Arabidopsis thaliana: one gene and its partners. The protein of the gene in region 1 interacts with the protein of each later gene in a pairwise test. Each region holds a gene or a part of one and is shown in the gene's direction. Other genes may lie near its edges. The genes, in order: CDKD1;3, ICK5, CYCA2;1 and CYCD6;1.

Region 1 (5,678 bases):
ACCACCAATTCGCCACGACGTGTACCCGGAGAGCGATGGTGAAGGAGCCGACGACAGTTCCGACATACATGTGAGGCGTGGTGATGGGTTTTTGTACCAAAAGCAGAGTTTCTTCAGTGGAGTTGCGTTCAAAGAGGCGGTTATAGATTATGCTCTGAGAACTGGACATAATCCAACATCTCTTTGGCACTCCAACCACTCTTCCTCGACCACGAGGTCCTGTAGATCCCGACGAACTTGATGACAGATTGCTCATCTTTCAACTGGAAATAAAAAAATTGGGAATCGATTTAGGGTTCTTGAGTTTTGAGTTTGGGGTTTTAGATTTTGGATTTGGGATTCGACAATGGATCGGGTTTTAAAAACGAATCCGGGTTTTTTTGGTTTGGTTTTGACCGATAATATGGTTTCGTCTCGGGTTTACGTATCAAACCGAAGTAACCACGATTCGGGGACATTAAGCTCTTGAACTTTTAATTGGTGGGGAAATAGACGTTTAACTTTCATTTCATGGGTAAATAGCAAGAGGTCAAAGATCGGGCTTCATCTAGCCAGATGCGATAGTTCCCATGGGGAAATAGACCGTTTTTCCGTAATGTTCTGATGTTAAACAGAATGGTTTTATAACATAACAGTTCATGTATGTATGATTTGGTTCTTACCGGTTAAGTAGATAATGTATGGTGAAAATGGAAAACGACGTCTCTCACAACAAAAAACAACTAAAACCCAAAATCTCGACCCAAAACCGAATTTAACTTCAAATTAAGTAAATATGGCCCGAAGTTATAAGCCCGAATAACAGAGGCCCATTATAAAACCTGGAGCACAAGTTTCTCGTCTATAAGTGCTAGGCTACGCATAGGGCTCCGTGGATTTGTTCTAAGAGGATATTCTCCGTTGATTTGCAATTGTCAATTTCCAAGCTTCAGAACTAGAGTTCGTTCGTTCACGACGTCACTGTGGCTCTCGCGGCGTGGCTGTTACTTTCCGGTGGGTGAGGTACGGTACTTGTTATCTCTCTCCGAAACCCTAAGTAGTCCTTGGATATGTATCTTTGCCTTTTCTTATATTTACGTTTAGGAAGATAATTCGTTTTCTTGGTAGTTTACCCCTTGTATAAATATAGTCATATAGAGCTCAGGGTCAAGTGATAATCAACACATTCAATCGATCTCTTTGCATCTCTTGTCATCAAGGGTTAACTTTATCTATTATTTTGTGTTTCTCTTTGTATAGAAAAGAGATGTCGAGTGATTTGCAATCGAACTCCGGCAGATGTACCTCCGAGGACTAGATATTATGCGGATAGCTCAGCCCGTTTGGTTTTCATGGAGGGGCCTGAGATGGAGAGAAAGATGATGACAAGCTATGCGGGAAACCCAAAGTACTCCTTCTTCTGGAGCTCAGATCGTTATCATGCTTATTACCAGAAAAAGCTTGCTGGATACCGTGCGCAGAATTACATGAGGGACCTGAGATCAAACTTAGTGATTATGGGATACCTGATGTTCCATTGAGGGTGAGGGTAAGGGAACCACCGCTTCAGATTCCAAAACCTCCTCCGGGCTTTGCTAGTGACCAGAAGCCGACAATGAAGTATCCGCCTCCACCACCTCGCAAGTATGCAGCTATACTCCCTGAATGGATTACTGGCAAAGAGCTTGAAACTATCAAGGAAGGGGATATGGACGAGAAACAGCAACGATAGCTCTTAAGAAATCAGCTAAACTCTAGCAAAAACACGTGGATTGCTAATATGCTTTATAGGTTATAGGTTAAATTTGTTGAGGTATAAAACAGTCATTTCAAAAAATCAAAAATTCACGATTAATTTAGCTATTGTTTAAAAGTTTAGATATTAAATAATATTTTTCTCTTTTATAAATCGAAAATGTTTGGATATTAAATGTATAAAAAACTAGAAAAGTAAATAATTGGGCGTTTCTCTTTATTTGTTGTTTCCCTCGATTAGCCGATTGCGTCTGCAAACGCGCCAACGGCTACTTTTTCTCCGGAGCCGGAGCTCTCAAAGCTGAAACCCTAAATTTTCCCGGTATCTTCCTCATCGTCGATTTTACTCAATTTAGAATAAAAATCGGAAAGCAATCGAATTCTAGCGACGTGAATTAAGAAGAAAGAGAGAGGCGCGATTATTGAGTGGGTTCTGAAAAACCCGAAAATGCCGGAGCAGCCAAAGAAAGTTGCTGATAGGTATCTCAAGCAAGAGGTTCTTGGGCAAGGTACCTATGGAGTCGTCTTCAAAGCCACTGATACTAAGGTCATATCTTTGCTGATTTTTGTTTGCAAAATTAGGGTTTAGGATCTGTCGGCAATTCCTAATTTCTCCTTCTTTTTTGGTTCCGGATTTTGATTGAAGTTTTTGTTGGATCAAGGGGAAGTAATTGTGGGGTGTAATTTTGCAGACGGAACAAACTGTAGCAATTAAGAAGATAAGGCTTGGTAAACAAAGAGAAGGTGTAAATATTACAGCTCTCAGAGAAATCAAAATGCTCAAAGAGCTAAAGCATCCTCATATTATTCTGCTCATTGATGCATTTCCTCACAAGGAAAACTTGCATCTTGTCTTTGAGTTCATGGAGACTGACCTCGAAGCAGTTATTCGCGATTCTAACATTTTCCTCTCACCCGCCGACATTAAATCCTACCTCCTAATGACATTTAAAGGACTTGCTTATTGCCACGATAAATGGGTTTTGCACAGGTACATTTGTTTATCCTTAACAACTTGCTTATTGTCTCTGTAATGTTGCTTGGTTTGGGCACTGATTATGTGTGGCTTGAGTTCAGGGATATGAAGCCAAATAACTTGTTAATAGGAGTTGATGGACAGCTTAAGCTTGCAGATTTTGGCTTAGCACGTATATTTGGTAGTCCAAATCGTAAGTTTACCCACCAGGTATGCCTTTTGCCGCATTGCCATTTTATCTATTGCTGTAATATAACCAAATTGATCGACTAACTCATATGAAATATTGATAAGAAAGTTTTAAGTAGTTCTTATCAGTAGTTATGTCTAGGGATGAGGAAGATTAGATGTCTCATGTCTTTTCATTTCTCTAGTTGTATACTAAATGTAACATGTATTAAACAGTCTCAACTCATATTAAATGATGGTGCAGTAGCTATCTCATATCTGTACTAAAAGTTTTGCTGTTAACCGGATTTTTGACCTGAGCTATTTCTGCCTTCTTTGTTTCCCTTTGAACACCCAAAATTACAATAGAATCCATGTGAGCTCTGTTTCCAAATGCGCAATGCAACTTATTTTCTCTTGTTTCTAGTTGTTATATTATCTTCATATCTTGATATATCTGATAATGCACAGGTGTTTGCTAGATGGTACAGAGCACCAGAACTTTTGTTTGGTGCAAAACAATATGGTGCTGCAGTTGATGTTTGGGCCGTTGCCTGCATATTCGCCGAACTTCTACTACGCAGACCATTTCTTCAGGTTAAATAATCTTACTCAAATCTAATGGCTACCATTAAAACTTTAGTCCAATTGTCATCTCTTTGGATGTTATACTCACTCTCAGACTACATAATTACATATTCATTATCAATTTTCTCGGTATGTTTACTTATTCTATTTTTGCCGTTGCAGGGAAACAGTGATATTGATCAATTAAGCAAAATATTTGCTGCTTTTGGGACACCAAAAGCAGATCAGTGGCCGGATTTAACAAAGCTTCCAGATTATGTAGAGTATCAATTTGTCCCTGCACCGTCTCTACGTTCTTTATTCCCAGCAGTTAGTGATGATGCTCTCGACTTGTTGTCCAAAATGTTTACCTATGACCCAAAGGCTAGAATTTCCATTAAGCAGGCTCTAGAACACAGGTGCCTAATGTTCACCATCTGTTTATAGGCAAAGTATATCTAGCGTTCTGCTCTCACACCTTTGTTTTCATTATTTCAGGTACTTCACTTCTGCACCTGCTCCTACTGACCCGGCTAAGCTCCCAAAGCCCGTTCCTAAGCAGGATGGTAAATCATCTTACGGTAAACATGAGGCCATTACAGTGCAATCACCACCACGTAAGCTTAGAAGAGTGATGCCTGAGCGTGGGAGGGTTGATAGTTTGAAGTCTCATGTTGACAAGGATCAACAAGCACCCATGTCATTAGATTTTACCATCCTCGCTGAGCGACCTCCAAACAGGCCAACAATCACCAGGTAAAAAACAAGACAGTTTCTCCCTCACTGCATATTAATCTCATTTGTCATTACAGCCTCAAGATTGATTGTGTTTTAATGACTTCTTCTTGTTCAATTTGTAGTGCTGATAGATCTCATCTGAAGAGGAAACTCGATCTTGAGTTCCAGTAAGACTGTTGGTTATGCACTCTTCTCTTAGCTTCTCCATTTTCATGTTCTGGTGAAACCACACCATTGTTAAGTTGTCAATTTACTGCTGCTTGTGTAATCTGGCGATTTATTCTTTTCCATATTTAGCTTGATTACAAACCAGAGGGACCTTAGATTCACAATGATAATATTTTGTTGTCCCATAGGCTTTTTATTCATTGTAAACTGATCATACTGTACTATGAAGTCTATGATTATAAAGCTTTCTACTTTTTGCTTCTAGAATTCTTTGCGGTACAAAGAGAGCTCTGTTTAATCTTCAAACTCATTTTTCTTTCGATGGTGGCCCCAGGAATTTAATTGATCCATTGACAGCTCAAAAAGATTTTACCAAATACCAACAACAGGTTTATAAAACACATACGAGCCAGAAAAACAGATGCCCACATGTCAGTCAGGCTCTTCTTTAGTCATACCCGCTTGAAGACTATCACGATTGCTGTGCAGTTGTCTTTGCAACGACGTTCTTTCACAGCTTCCTTCACAAGACGGCGACTTACCGTGCTTACATGCAAGCCCTCCTACAAAATCATAGTTCTTAGCCTCTTAGTTTCTCACATTTAATTTCCCTTGACACTCTTTACTTGTGTGCACAAGGTTCTAACAAGCCATTTTGCTCACATGGCTACCGAAAAACATCTGTTTTTTGAGCTTCTTTCTATGTAGTTAAAGAGAGTGTGAAATGGAGGACAAAGTGATTTTGACAACTGTAGGTATTTACCTTCAAAAGTTTCTGGACAAATCCAACAGCATCACTTGGTCCAAACACCTGAAAACGGTTGCATTGTGTATGAGCAGCAAACTTTGATATATAAAGACAAAATGAAATGTTCTTATAGAGCACTGCAAAACCACAAACGAAGAGCTTACTTACTTCCCACAATCCATCGCAACCAAGAATCATGAAGTTTTCTCTCTCAGTTAATTCAAAAGCATGAATGTCTGGAGTTGCACTGACACCAAACTAGATTCAATAACTTGCGTTAGATGCGAATAAACCATAAGATTTTAGGATAAGTTACAGATTCTAGGCATTTGAAGTTGCAAAATGATATGGAGCAAGGTTCAAGAACATGTCGATAGAATATTGCACGCGAGAGCTAAAATGTCACAGATAATGGGCTCAATATAAAGTGGGAAGCCACCGGATCATTACCTTCTTAAAATGACGATCACCAAAAGCCCTAGAAACCTCAAGACGCCCTTGTAACCGTCCATTTGAGCTTATAACACCACCTGACTGTGAAACTCATAGCAAGTTATCAACAGAGCATGGTGTGCTCAC
Region 2 (4,347 bases), about 12 Mb from region 1:
GCGATGTCGATTCATACCAACTCCCTGATGCCAAAGGTTATACCAGGTATGATGTTTATTTATGGGTTCTTCTCTGGTCTTTGTTGGCTTTTTTTCAAGGAATGTAATGAATTTCAATCTAATTTCCCATCTCTATCAACAGTTTGTTGAGGCATTTACTTAATGTAACCGACGAAGAGAGGCAAATAAGGCGTGAAGAGATATTATCTACAAGGTTAACAGCATTCTCTCATTTTTGCTTTAGCGTATATACAAATCAATTTATACAACTTTTTCACTTTCCACATAATGGTATGCCGCGGATATCCTGTGGGGATTTATGAAATCCTTGGGGACAATGTTGTGATCTGAGTTTTGTAGTGTTAGGAGTTTAACGACTTCTTTGAATATTACCAAATAGCCAGTTGCAATTCTTCGACATAGTTATTATCAAACAGATAAGAAAAGTAACTTCCATTTTATCCTTTTTCAGTTTGAAGGACTTCAAGGAATTCGCAGAGGCAATAGACTCTGTTAGTGATAAAGGCGTTGCAGTGGCCGTGGCATCACAAGAAGACATTGATGCAGCAAACAGAGAACGCTCAAATTTTTTCGAGGTGAAGAAAGCAGCTCTCTGAGTCTGAGACCCTCTTAGAAAGTAGCTTGTCACAATGAGGAATGACTCTTCTTAGGTTCACGGTACGACGCATCAAATCTCTAAGCTCGTACTTATTTGTGTTTTACTTCACTGTGTTTTGTATAGTTATATATGCCAACATCATGACTTATCACAGTTGAAATTTAGCATTTTTACCTGAAAACACAGGCTTTAGCTACTGTTGCATTTGAGTTGTTACTTTTTTGGACAATTTTTCTTTCGTTTTAGCCTTTGCTCTTTAAGAACTAAGAATCCTAGTTCTATTTATATTCCATTATCGTATCAAGATAAGCTCTCGAGGATTTTCCTGTACCTTTTAGGTTATAAAACCAGTTTCGTTTGATTCACATTTTGTTGAAAATGATGAGTCAAAATAGACATTATATTCATCATTGGCTGGGATCGGATCGAACAGTGCCTGTTCTTGTTAAAACAAATGGCTCTCAGTCATACAAAAGATGCATCTATTATTCATCATGTGTCGTGATCTTGTTATTGTCATACTATCTAATGTGACTACTCATGCTTCATTTGTTTTTGTTTGTGTTTTTGAAGTAGGTCGTAGGTCTTAAACATTTCCAAGTGAAATTGAAACGCTTATTCTTTTAGGACATTGGCATCAAGATCTCTATGTTACTTTTATAAGTGAATTAGTCTTTAAAGTTACTTTTTATTAACATTGATTCATAAAGATAACTTTTGTAAATTAGCCCATAAACAAAGATACTTGTATTGATGAATCTTCTTCGTCTCATCCTTTTACCATTATCCTTGAAAATTCTGATTACATCATTATTATGGATGAAAATTAACGAAGAGTCTTCTTTTTTTTCTTGTGATAAATTTTAAAATTATTGAAGAAGCAGAATCGGACAATTGAAGCCTAGATTATTTTTTATTTATTTTTTGCAAAATGAAGCCTAGATTCTAATATTTCATATTTTCGATATTGTACATGTGTAACTTTAAAAAAAAAAAAAAAAAAATCCCAAGTAAATGCTTGTTAGCACAATTATTATGTAACGGTCAATTATTGCTCATTATTTCACTGCCAAAAAATAACGAAAATGGTCCCATTTTATTAGAAGGAAATAAACATGTTGTATGTGTAAAATTCTTAACCCATTTTTGGACATGTACAGATTCCATGTAAAAGCTGGATTTTAAGTTGGTTTTTTGTTGTTGTCATTTAATAAGTACTATTTAATTGATTGTATTTATAGTTCTGTCTCCATGTGAAGCTGCTCATAAGAAAGTGAATGCTTTAGACTCTAATCTATGTGCCTAGTTATATCCTTAAGAAGTTGATATTTAGAGCTTATGATAGAAATTATGAATCAGCAACCATCAGAATTATTTTTTTTGTTTTGACAAATGTATTTACGTGTAAAAGAATATAAGTTTAAGAAATCTATAGTAGAAAGTAGATTAATTAACAAAAATTACTGTCACAACTCACATTTCTACAGCTTATAGGACGACGTTTTAGTTTTGGGTTGCTTTAAAAGGAAGCTAAAAACGGCAAAAAAGACGCGTCGTTTAGAATCCCGACGGCGTCTACGCTCCGTAACGACGCCGTTACCTGCTTCCCCGTGAACGGGACTCAGTTTAAAGGACCCCACTCAAAACCGGCACAACAACGGCCCATCCGCTATAGGCAAGGCCCAATAATTAAATCTCAGCCGTTGAATTAATCAACGGCTCTAGATCCTTCATCTTCCTCTCCCCCAAATACCCAAAACCCTTCCTCTGTTTTTATTAACCAGAGAAACCCCAACTTTTTCATAAACTCTCTCCAGAGAAAACTATAATGAGCTTGAGAGAAATGAGCGAAACAAAACCCAAGAGAGATTCTGAGTACGAAGGATCAAACATCAAGAGGATGAGACTCGATGATGATGATGACGTTTTACGCTCACCGACGAGAACTCTTTCTTCTTCTTCCTCTTCTTCTCTGGCTTACTCGGTTTCAGATTCCGGAGGTTTCTGCTCCGTCGCGTTATCTGAAGAAGAAGACGATCATCTAAGCTCAAGCATCAGCTCTGGTTGTTCCAGCAGCGAAACTAACGAAATCGCTACTCGTCTTCCATTTTCAGATCTGGAGGTGAAATTTCGAAACTCGAGATTACAAATTTTGAAATTTCTCTGTTTCACAATAAATGCTCTCTGAGCAAGATCTGATTACGTTTTTTTGGATTAATTAATTTTGTTTCCGTTTTCAGGCTCATGAAATCTCCGAAACCGAAATCTCAACGTTACTCACCAACAATTTCAGGTTAATTACTAAAAAAGACGTTTCAAAGATTTTTCAATTTCTTCATTGTTTCGTCTATAAATTCATAATTTTTGGAATTTCACAGGAAACAGGGAATTTCATCAAGCGAGAATCTGGGAGAAACAGCAGAAATGGACTCGGCGACGACGGAGATGAGAGATCAGAGAAAGACGGAGAAGAAGAAGAAGATGGAAAAATCACCGACGCAGGCAGAGCTTGATGACTTTTTCTCGGCGGCGGAGAGATACGAACAGAAACGATTCACAGAAAAGTGAGTCTTTTTTAGACCCACACACACGCGCATGATAGCAGAGATCCTTAACTTGCAGTTGTTTAAAACATGTATAGGTACAACTACGACATCGTCAATGATACGCCGCTTGAAGGTCGGTACCAGTGGGTTAGTCTGAAACCTTAGAAGCCATGGAAGAACAAAAAAAAAAAGAAAAAGAAGAAGAGACAGTGCTAAAGTTACACGTCCTAGTACTGTGATTTTTGTCACAGACAGAAGAATTTTTAGAGACATTTCATTGTACAGTTTTTATCTAATTTTAATTTCATCATTATCTTCATCTGTTCTTCGTACCAAGAGTTTTTTTTTTTAACTAGAAGTGTTAACATATATTTGAGTTTAATTCTCTCTGTCTCGGTGATATTGTTGGATTGTTCAACAAAAAAAGTGGGGTTACAACAATTAAAAATTGGAATTATTGTGTCAGTAAAGTTTCACTAATTTTTGTCAGTTTTGTTGTAGTGAATTTGGTGTTGTGCACATTATTAGTATTTTCATGAAATTGGGAGGATTTACGTATTTATGAATTTGGAAAACTATTTATTGTTTTGATTCTCACCTTGGATGTTTATAGAAATTGTTTTTTTCTCTTCTTTTTGTTGCTTGTACTTTATATGCTATTTTATAACTTTTTTATTTTTCTTGTTTCGACAATTGTTTTAGTGAAACAATAATGGTAATAGGAAGAAGAAAATAAATATAGATTTTAAGGAAAATGGGTAAAATTAGAAAACCATAACGGTATATATATATCATACACTTGGTATGTACTTTCTCTATAGTTCGAATGAATATTCCTCTAATTTCCTTGAAATAATTTATTTTATTATTTTATCAAGAAAACTTTATGAACAAAGTTGAATGTTTATTTATCAAAAAAAAAGAAGCAAATTTGAAAGCTTTCTCGATGATTGACGTTTTTTTTTCTTTCTGAAATTTAATTTTCAAATTATAAATGAGCTTTACGGCAAAAAATTAAAACTTTAAATGGCAAGAATACAAAAAAGGAAGAGAGAGAAGAGAATAGAGAGGATCTCATCATTACCTGATTCCGTTGGGATTATATTCCCTTTTTTTAATTTTCTTTTCTTATTTTAATTTCCTACAGCAGGCAAAGGCGCGTGACTCCACGTGCTTTCTGTT
Region 3 (5,211 bases), on another chromosome or scaffold:
AGTGACTAGCAGGATTCGCATATGAGCAATATCAACTCCGTTTGCTTGTTGATGAATAAAGTCTTTCTTGACAAACTCTCTCTCAAAATTGATAAACTCATGTATCTCTTCATTTGTTAACATAAAAAACAGTAATATTTTACATTAATAAATTTTACATTAACGATTATGAAAACTGATAATAATACAAAAAATATGTCAACGATTTATATTATATGAGATTTATAAATTTATTTAGTGTAATAAACCAAACAATGGTAAAATAAAACAAATAAAGAAAACAAAAACATGGAAAAATATTATCTAGTAACACTTTGTTTAGCCATAAACAAAAAATCCATGAAAATCATTGCTAGAGTTTATACAACTCACTGAGAAGAATCTGTAAAACTTTTAAAATCTCTAAACTTTTGAAATCTTTAAATTCTTCAACAATCAACTTACCAATAGAAATAGCGTGAAAACAAATTTTAAAATTTTAATTTAGTTAAAAATTAAAAATAATGTAATGATAATGATAATGTATTATACGTATAGTATCAATTGAAACATTTTGATTGATAATCTACCTGTTAATTTAAATTTTTAAGAAATTTCTTACATGATAGTTTTTTGATATTAAAAAAAAAAGAGACTTTAGTATGAAGAGTAAAATTATATTGCCTACATGAAGAGGAAATATGTCTGCCAAATTTAAAGCTAGACTCCAAATTTAGAAAGAATAGTAAATTTTTATTTTGTAATTAATAGTTTTTAACAATGAAGCAAACACCAATTTCTTTTCTTTGGTGACTATGTTCCTCTTTAATATTAGATTTTTTTTTTTTTTTACAAAACATAGATTGGGTTTTTGTTAGAGTCAGTGAATAGTTTGTGATAATAGTCCAATGGGCTTTTAGGTTATGAAACGGTTTAATCAATGGGGCACTCAAATAGTAAAGTAAGGAACAGATGCCATAGAATAGAGCGCGTAACGGCTGATTAGATCTCCAAATTAAAAAAAAAAAGAGAATTTACCACAACTACAAGACCAGACGTCAAAGTGTCAGAAACCACTCTGTCACTTACTTCCCAATAAAAATCCAAAAATTATCATTTGTCCAAATCCCAAAGTCACTTTCTCTTTTCTTTTGTTTTTCAACTTTAAAAATTTTAATATCTGAATTTCGAAACGAGACCACAAAATCCCGCTCACGCAGTCACGCTCCTCCTATTTCAACACACACTCTCTTCGCTGTTGTAGATCATTCTCATTCTCTATATTCGATTTTCTGTGACAAAGGTATCACATCATTTTACACGTCTCTCGTTTGGATCGATGTTTATTTATTTTTGTTGTTCGTAATTTGAGTTTTTTTGTTTGTAGATCTGTTTTTTTCTCTGTTCTTATTTTTCTAAGTGTTTGTGGTTTTTTTTTCTCTCTGTTTTGTTTGTATGTTTATGTTTCAGACAATGATTTGATCACGGAAACATATACCGAATTCAGACAATGATTTGATCATGTTTGTGTTTATGTTTTTATTTTCTTGTTATTGTCACGGAAACATTTAAGAAAAATGATCAATAATAAGAAATATGATCGTGGAGGTGATTTTTTGTATAGAATTTTTTTTTGGGTCAAAGATGAAATTTAATGTTGGGAACTTGATTTTACTTGTTTAAAGTTCTTCCACTCAATTTCTTTCAAGTTTATGAAGTTGAGATTTGATCTCACTAATTGAGCATGCGATTTTTCTTGAATCTGAATTTGCTAACATTTTTTAACTCTGATTGATTCAGGTTTGGCTTGTTGAATCAGTGGAGTGTTTTTTTATAATTTGAAATCATGCATAGAGCTTCTTCTAAGCACACTAATGCGAAGAAAGAAGCAATCTCTACTTCGAAAATTCGAGATAATAATGTGAGAGTCACTAGATCAAGAGCTAAGGCCTTAGGAGTGTCGAATTCTCCATCAAAACCCGCTTTTAAACATGAAACGAAGCGTGTTGCTAGACCGAGTAATAAACGAATGGCATCGGATAATATCACAGTTTGTAATCAGAAAAGACGAGCGGTGCTCAAGGATGTGACTAACACTTTGGCAGAAAGTATAATTTCTACAGAAGGCAATGTTAAGGTAGCAAATTTTTATGCTTTCTTTGCATTTTCTTGATTCGTATATGTTTTGGTTTAGAATTTGTTGTTAATGATACAATGTGGCAGGCTTGCAAGCGAGGTGGTAAAGAAACTAAGCAAATAGAAGAAGATGGTTTGGTAGATGTGGATGGCGAAAAATCTAAACTAGCAGAAGATTTGTCAAAGATTAGAATGGTTGAATCTTTAGATGCATCTGCTTCAAAGCAAAGTAAGAAACTTCACTACTAAAGAATGTGTTTGTACCAGAGTGTTTGTTTCTCAAATTTACTCAAGAATTAGTGGATTGTGCAGAAGAAGACAGATCTGATGTCACAGATTGTGTTCAGATTGTAGATATAGATTCAGGTGTCCAAGATCCTCAGTTTTGTAGCTTATATGCTGCAAGTATATATGACAGCATTAATGTTGCAGAGGTTTGCATTACATAATCTCAATGCTTGGTCTTATTCTATCTTCCCAAAAGATGATTTACATTTTGAGATTTTGAGTTACTTATATTAACCAATACTTTTTGTACAGCTTGAACAAAGACCTTCAACTAGCTATATGGTGCAAGTGCAGCGAGATATCGATCCAACGATGCGCGGAATTCTGATTGATTGGCTCGTGGAGGTAGGAATACAATATTTGCTATGCATAGTTTTACACTTTTACTTGAACTTGTGTAAAAGTTGAAAGTGTGTTATTTTCAAAGTATTTGCTAAACTAAGAATCTCTTTTCTTTCAGGTCTCTGAAGAGTACAAGTTGGTTTCAGATACACTTTACCTTACCGTGAATCTAATTGATCGGTTCATGTCTCATAATTACATTGAAAAGCAGAAGCTCCAGCTACTTGGTATCACTTGCATGTTAATAGCCTCGTGAGTTACCACTTTTACTGTTTCCTCATTCACAATGCAATGAAAGTAAAACTGAACAATCAGTGGACACAGAGGAACACATGTTTGCTCTCATTGCATACTTAGAGCAAGTTTTACTCTGGAATATATACTTAAATTAATAATTACAGATTAGTACTTCTCAAGTAACTAAGGTATTCCTCCTTGTTGAAGCAAATACGAAGAGATTAGTGCACCGCGGTTGGAGGAGTTTTGCTTCATTACAGACAATACATACACAAGACTAGAAGTAATTAACATGCAGACTCCATCTCTATCAGTTCTCAGCTAAGATGATTCATTCTTAATAAAAGATTAACAAAAAATACAATACACTATTTTTTCAGGTACTAAGTATGGAGATTAAAGTTTTAAACTCTCTTCATTTTCGGTTATCAGTTCCCACCACCAAAACGTTTCTCAGGTAATCATTAAACACATCAAAATGCACCATTACTTAACATAGTCTCTTTAACGTTTTCAAAACATTCTAAAGTCATTTTCTTCTTCTCTGTTTCAGGCGGTTCATTCGCGCCGCTCAAGCGTCTGATAAGGTGAGATTTACATTGATACATTTCACTAATCATTCTCAGCATTTGAAATAACTTGGAATCAGTAAACTGATTTTGTTGGTTTACAGGTTCCTCTCATTGAAATGGAGTACTTAGCCAACTATTTCGCGGAACTAACTCTCACAGAATATACTTTCCTAAGGTTCCTTCCATCCCTAATTGCCGCTTCAGCGGTTTTCTTAGCAAGATGGACACTCGACCAATCTAACCATCCTTGGGTGAGTGAGCTCATATTTCTCATTATGAATGTTTTTACCTCATTGAAACAATTTTTGGTGATGTGAATGTTATTGCTTACAGAACCAAACTCTACAACACTATACAAGATATGAAACATCCGCTCTAAAAAACACGGTACTTGCAATGGAGGAGTTGCAGCTCAACACCAGTGGAAGCACTCTTATCGCTATACACACCAAATACAACCAACAAAAGGTATAATAATAAATTCAATCTAAGAAAGTGGACACTGAATCTGAATTTGGTCTCTCTCACTCTATATGAATATTTGACAGTTTAAAAGAGTGGCAACATTAACATCTCCTGAACGTGTGAACACACTCTTCTCAAGATGAAACCGCAGATTTTCTGATTCTCCTGATATGACCAAGTCAGCACAACTCTCTGGCTTCAGCAGTTTGTATCAGGTGATCATCAATCCTAGTTTCAGACATCAGTTTTGGTCTCTACAGTTATGGAATAGTTTTCCTTGTAAGTTGTCTGTCTATCTTTTACCTGTAACTGTTGTTAGTGTCAGGTGCTTCCAAAGAAGTGCCATCTCATGGAAAATTGTATCAACCAAAACACAATTTTGACTCATTGAGATTTGTCCTTCACAGTAAAAAAATGTTATAGATTTTTGTAGACTCATTAATAAAAGCAAGTGTTCATGCGCCATTGTATATTTATTTAGTTTTGGTTACCAAGTGATGTTCCAGTGGTAATTACATTCCATTGGGCCCAAATAAACTTCACAATAAACAAATATGAAAAACCTTTTGTTTCTTGTTCAAGAAACTCGACCTAAGCAATACCAGATTCTCTAAAACAATACAAACTGGGTTTTCTCTCTTATGCCAACCTTTTCCTGTCTTGAGTGAAAAGCCTAGTTGATACCCATTTAAACAAAGATCTATAAAGACAAAATTTGTTGAAAACTTGGCTTTCCATTAACAAGTAATTATTTCTTTCACAATATCATACTAAAGATGAATTATACGTATATTTGTCGTAAATAAACGGAGCGATATATCATAGAGAAATATCCTAAAATAGCACTCAAACAAGTTTAATGGACAATTAAAATAACATTGTCCACAAATTTGTAAAATTAGCTTTAGTGAATTTACTCAGTAACTATTTTATAATTATATAAATTAACAAAATTAATTACAATTTGAAATCACGATTAATTTACAAACAATCGTGTGAAACGTCAATCGAATGTTAATAACTTTATATTAGTTTTTTACTATGAATTTGTGTTTTTTTAGAGTTTTAGAGATTGTGTGTTAAATTTAGTAACAAACTTACTTTCATGCTATTTATGAGAATTGCATATTTCTAGACCAATTTTTTATTATTATAATTCATATAATTATTCTTGAATTATTTATGTGCTATT
Region 4 (5,075 bases), on another chromosome or scaffold:
AACAAAATTAGTTTGCAGTAAATTGTTGTCTGCTTTCAAAAATTTAATAGAGTAATTCGCTTATAGTTTAGTCGCTTTTTTAGTATCCATTTAAAGCCAAAGTAGTAATGTATCTATGGAAGAAAGTAAGAAAATAAAAACAGAGCAAAAGAAGTATCATTTTAAAGTTCAAACAAAGTAGGTTGGTTTGAGAATTTAGGTGATATATTTGTTCAATCTTCACTAGTACCCATTTTATAATGAGAAATTCCTACAAATAGCACACTTTTAAGTTTTTTGGATAAAAATAGCATTAAAAGGTTTTTTAGACATAAATAGCACTCAAATAATAATACCACAATTTTATGGACAATAATAATACCACAATTTTATATAAAATCTATTCAACCAAAATAAGTTAGAAATAAATTTAAAATATTATATTTGGGTTCTCTATTTCCAATTTAGGGTATATATTTTAACTATTTAAAAAAAATTTTGATTCCTTTTAATATTAGTTTATGGTATTATATTTGGGTTTCCTATTTCCAATTTAGGGTATATATTTTCACCATTTAAAAGAGATTTTTCATTTTAAAATTAGTTTGTAGTATTATATTTGGGGTTTTTATTTCCAATTTAGGGTATATATTTCCACTATTTAAAAGTTTTTTGATTCAATTACTTCTTTTGCAATAAATATCTAATATTTTTTTATTCTTTAAAGTGGTTCAAAATCTGGCATTTGTTAAAAAGAAACAAAAAATTGTCACTCTTTCTCTATGAAACATATTACTATTATATTGTTTAAAAAACAAGAAACTATATTATTATCAACACTTTTCTGTTGTTTATTAGCTAATACTCCCAAAACATTTTTTTTGGACAAATACTAATACCCCCAAAAACTAATAAGCTGTTTTTTCTTACGTTACAAGCATATAAATTCTTATGTTTGTTAGGTCAGTCAATGTTTTCTTTCATTTCGTTCATATCTAGAGTTTCAAAGGCCTTTGCATTTCACATTTTCTACATAAAATTAATGTTTTCTTTTCCGTCTAAAAATAGACCAGTCAGGCTTTGGCAGTAAAAGATCAAAGTAAAAAAATAAAAACAAAAAGTTTGTTCAAATGGCGTTTTCACATGGCAGTTTGTTCATTGACTTCTCAATTTTTCTTTATTGACTTAAAAAAAATAATCTGAATATATATGTTGGGAATTTCAAAACCTAACAAAAGGTAAGTACAAAGACTTAAGGACAAGGAAAACCAAGCTGTCACAACCTAATTAGTAATTTAAAATGTGTGATACAATGATGATTAAAAACAAAACAAAGACTTAAAAAGATTTCTAAAGTTAATCAATGTTTGTAACTGTTTGGACGAGATTCCAAAGTGACGAATCTTTTGATACATAAAACTGTACATTACATCAGCTCTATTTATGAGTAAATGACAACTTTATGTGGTAAATAAAATGGTTTAACGATAGTATATGTTATTATCATATTTAATCTCCCCAGCCTTAGTATATTTTAAAGTTGGGTCTTACCAAATTCATGAAAGAACTTTAACACACACAAAATTCATAGAAGAACTTTTTTTTAGCATGATACTAAATTTACATGATCTAAAACTCAAACAAAATGTAATATCTATATATATTATGCTGGTTTTTTTTTCAATATGATTTTTTAATTGTTTGGTACTTGATATTAATACTAAAATGCAATTTTATTTATTTATTGAATTATTGACTTAATTTGTAATAAAATCTAATAAAAACATTACACGTATTAGTGTATTACATATTTTTTAAACAACTAAGTAATAATTTACGGTTATAAATTTTTAATACAAACGGCTCTGTTTATGAATATTTGTAGTTTAAGGTTTTTGCATACAAATTAAGAAAACATACAAATCTCATTTAATTTATCTATTTCTTATAAAAACACCATTAATTACAACTAATCCAACCAATAAAAAAATATGATGCAAAATATAATTGGTTAAAAACTATTAAATACATTTAATGTTTGCATAGAAAAGTGAAAACAACATTTATATTGAAAAAAATAAAAAATTATTGAACTACACTTAATTAAAAACAGAGGATTATAGAGAATTTAAGAGAGAATATTGGATTTTTTTTCCTTCTAATATTGCAAAAGAAGAATCTCTTGAAAAAGATTTGATTATCTTTGATAAAATCTTAATTCTTACTATCAATGAGAAAAAATCGAATAAAAAAATAACCAAAGTGGTAGTAATAAATAAATGTGGAAAATCTCTCAAAAGACCGAAAACCATCTCTCTCTATCTCACAATAAAGACAACTTCTCTCTTTTAATGTCTCTCTGTCCCTCTCTCTTCTTCTTCATCTTCTAACACCAATTCAAGAAAGAAGGAAGCTTAAGAAGAGTCTATCATCAATCAATGGAGTTTCATCTTGAACATCCTCTCTCACATTCTTCACTCCACAATAACTTCAACGACGACACAGACTATGAAACTTTACCACACTCTCTCTTCCTCGTCGAGTTTCAACACATGCCTTCTTCTCATTACTTCCATAGCCTCAAGTCCTCTGCTTTTCTTCTCTCTAATCGAAACCAAGCCATTTCTTCAATCACTCAGGTCTTTTTAACCAAAATTATTTTCTGGGTTTAGTTCTGAATACTGAATCGTTATCGAAAGACTTAACTTTATTTTAATTTGTAACTGAACAATCGCAGTATTCAAGAAAATTCGACGACCCATCTCTGACGTATCTTGCTGTGAATTATCTAGACAGGTTCTTGTCTAGCGAAGATATGCCGGTAAAAACAGAATCTTCCGACAGAATCTGTCCTTTGTTTCATCTGAGTTTTGACTAAATTGTTTTGTCAACAGCAGTCAAAGCCCTGGATTCTTAAGCTCATATCTCTCTCTTGTGTCTCTTTGTCTGCAAAAATGAGGAAACCAGACATGTCTGTTTCTGATCTTCCGGTAACTTAAAACTCATGAATCTTTATAATGTGAATGTGTTTTAAAGTGTTGATAAGTGTCTGAACATTGGATTTTTTTCAGGTGGAAGGTGAGTTTTTTGATGCTCAGATGATAGAGAGAATGGAGAATGTGATTCTAGGAGCTCTTAAATGGAGGATGCGCTCTGTTACTCCTTTCTCCTTTTTGGCCTTTTTCATTAGTCTCTTTGAGCTCAAAGAAGAAGATCCTTTACTACTAAAACATTCCCTCAAATCTCAAACCAGTGATCTTACTTTCAGTCTTCAACATGGTAAATACAGAATTGCTTTTCTTCAATCACATAATCACAATATGCTAAAATCTGTTTGAAAACGCTGCAGATATCAGTTTCCTCGAGTTTAAACCATCGGTGATTGCAGGCGCGGCACTTCTCTTTGCTTCTTTCGAGCTCTGTCCTCTACAGTTTCCATGTTTCAGTAACAGAATCAACCAATGCACATATGTAAATAAGGTAAAGAAGTCTTGAACAAGTAAACCATCTCAAATCGAGCTTTTTTTTCATCGCGGTACTAAGCGAGCATTAAACCGTGGTTGCAGGATGAGTTAATGGAGTGTTACAAAGCAATACAAGAGAGAGATATTATAGTTGGAGAAAACGAAGGAAGCACTGAAACAGCAGTAAATGTGCTTGATCAGCAATTCTCGAGTTGTGAAAGCGATAAGAGCATCACAATCACAGCTTCTTCTTCACCTAAGAGGAGGAAAACTAGTACTCGTCGTTACTAAGCTGAAAAAGGTGGTTAATGGTCAAACATAATCGTCAGATGAAATCAATCACTTAGCTACTTCAAAAACCACTTCTGGTCCCCTTATGAAAATGACACTTGCTTCCTTTCCCCTTATCTCCATCCATCTTCTTCTGCTTCAAAAATAAACCATTTCTCTCTTCCTGGAAGACAAGAGAGTGATGAATGATCAAAGACAAAGTCTCGGGTTCTGTTCCGTTGCTTGTTCCTTTGGACCACAACACAAAACTCAAAAAATTCAAAAGAAAAACAAATTACCAGTCTGTAGTATTTATCTATCTATCTACCTATCAATCATGTTCTGTATTTACAGTTTTGGCTTGTGGAGTTAAGTTGTTTCACTTGGGGGGAATAATCAATAAATATTGTTCTTGTGTAGTGTATATAACCCTATGGTTATGTTATTTATTAATGAACAAATGTGGTCACGAGATAACAATGAATTCAATTTTCAGGAATAAGATTTTGTCTTATGAGACTTCGTTATCCGACTTATATGGATCCAGTTGCCAGAATCTCTGTTGCAGGCAGGCAATATGATACTCTTTGGACCACTTTACACAGTCTTTAAATCATTCAATTGCTTTTGTTCTTACTGTAAATGAATCCCTTGCACTAACCCATATTAGGCCCACTAGCATCATAACGGCCCAAGATTGTGATATACAAGATCCATTCAAGCCCATTACTTAATGAAAACAATTGCAAGACTCAGACTGTGCTGAAAAGAATGTATACCATGGTTTCCAATTTCAGACATTATTGAGAAGCTATAAGAATCAAAGCTTCTGATGTATGTAATGCACAACAACAAAACACAAAGATGAAGAAGATGAATAAAGGGAAGAAAGTGTGTATCTATCACATCTTCATCGTTACCTCGCTAAGGAAATCGCAGGCAATGAAAGAGGGAGAGAGAGAGATCAGATAGGTCCGAGAGTTCCTTCACTTCGACTTCTTCGCATGGAGAGCTCAGTTCTCAGACTAGACAATCTATCACCAGTAGCAACGTGATAATTCTCGTAAGCAGCTGGAGATAGTTTGTGTCCCACAGGTGGAAGACGGCTGCGTCTCTCCTTGGACCGTTTCTGCAATGCTGGTGCTTTACGAGCTGTGGAGGATCCAGGTTTGTGAGAACTGGATGCACCATGGCTACTCTTCCGGCTACTGTTTTTGAGCTCTGATCTAAGGCCTCGGTCCAACTGATGTGTGCTTGTCCCGAGCCGAGCATCTTTAGTGCCTTGTCTATTATAGTATACCAAATTTGGCAGAAGTCCCAAAAGGTACTTTCTCAGTTGTTCATCACCAACATTCTTCTGTG

The links.
Region 2: the proteins of CDKD1;3 (region 1) and ICK5 interact in a protein complementation assay, tested with the Arabidopsis thaliana proteins (one large-scale study listed by BioGRID).
Region 3: the proteins of CDKD1;3 (region 1) and CYCA2;1 interact in a protein complementation assay, tested with the Arabidopsis thaliana proteins (one large-scale study listed by BioGRID).
Region 4: the proteins of CDKD1;3 (region 1) and CYCD6;1 interact in a protein complementation assay, tested with the Arabidopsis thaliana proteins (one large-scale study listed by BioGRID).

Annotation. Positions count from the first base shown.
Region 1 is NC_003070.9:6,205,804-6,211,481, reverse strand, and holds CDKD1;3 (cyclin-dependent kinase D1;3), read left to right. Parts: upstream 1-1,953; 5' UTR 1,954-2,182; coding exon 2,183-2,281; intron 2,282-2,426; coding exon 2,427-2,725; intron 2,726-2,811; coding exon 2,812-2,920; intron 2,921-3,020; exon of another isoform or gene 3,021-3,336; intron 3,337-3,349; coding exon 3,350-3,475; intron 3,476-3,628; coding exon 3,629-3,864; intron 3,865-3,943; coding exon 3,944-4,201; intron 4,202-4,305; coding exon 4,306-4,354; 3' UTR 4,355-4,611; downstream 4,612-5,678. Other genes in the region: AT1G18050 (SWAP/surp RNA-binding domain protein), read left to right, coding at 1-216, 927-997, 1,240-1,520; AT1G18030 (Protein phosphatase 2C family protein), read right to left, coding at 4,804-4,914, 5,115-5,162, 5,268-5,357, 5,550-5,633.
Region 2 is NC_003070.9:18,364,675-18,369,021, reverse strand, and holds ICK5 (Cyclin-dependent kinase inhibitor family protein), read left to right. Parts: upstream 1-2,277; 5' UTR 2,278-2,447; coding exon 2,448-2,741; intron 2,742-2,859; coding exon 2,860-2,912; intron 2,913-2,997; coding exon 2,998-3,183; coding exon of another isoform or gene 3,184-3,187; exon of another isoform or gene 3,188-3,260; coding exon 3,261-3,330; 3' UTR 3,331-3,686; downstream 3,687-4,347. Other genes in the region: PREP2 (presequence protease 2), read left to right, coding at 1-46, 143-214, 473-617. UniProt on the Arabidopsis thaliana protein: Binds and inhibits CYCD2-1/CDKA-1 complex kinase activity. May target specifically CDKA-1.
Region 3 is NC_003076.8:8,813,405-8,818,615, forward strand, and holds CYCA2;1 (cyclin a2;1), read left to right. Parts: upstream 1-1,825; coding exon 1,826-2,116; intron 2,117-2,202; coding exon 2,203-2,344; intron 2,345-2,409; coding exon 2,410-2,549; intron 2,550-2,655; coding exon 2,656-2,748; intron 2,749-2,863; coding exon 2,864-2,997; intron 2,998-3,189; coding exon 3,190-3,265; intron 3,266-3,362; coding exon 3,363-3,439; intron 3,440-3,535; coding exon 3,536-3,569; intron 3,570-3,655; coding exon 3,656-3,805; intron 3,806-3,887; coding exon 3,888-4,022; coding exon of another isoform or gene 4,023-4,028; exon of another isoform or gene 4,029-4,102; coding exon 4,103-4,162; downstream 4,163-5,211. UniProt on the Arabidopsis thaliana protein: May negatively regulate endocycles and act as a regulator of ploidy levels in endoreduplication.
Region 4 is NC_003075.7:1,431,034-1,436,108, reverse strand, and holds CYCD6;1 (Cyclin D6;1), read left to right. Parts: upstream 1-2,247; 5' UTR 2,248-2,417; coding exon 2,418-2,618; intron 2,619-2,716; coding exon 2,717-2,800; intron 2,801-2,873; coding exon 2,874-2,969; intron 2,970-3,050; coding exon 3,051-3,258; intron 3,259-3,328; coding exon 3,329-3,459; exon of another isoform or gene 3,460-3,545; coding exon 3,546-3,734; 3' UTR 3,735-4,265; downstream 4,266-5,075. Other genes in the region: AT4G03260 (Outer arm dynein light chain 1 protein), read right to left, coding at 4,678-5,075.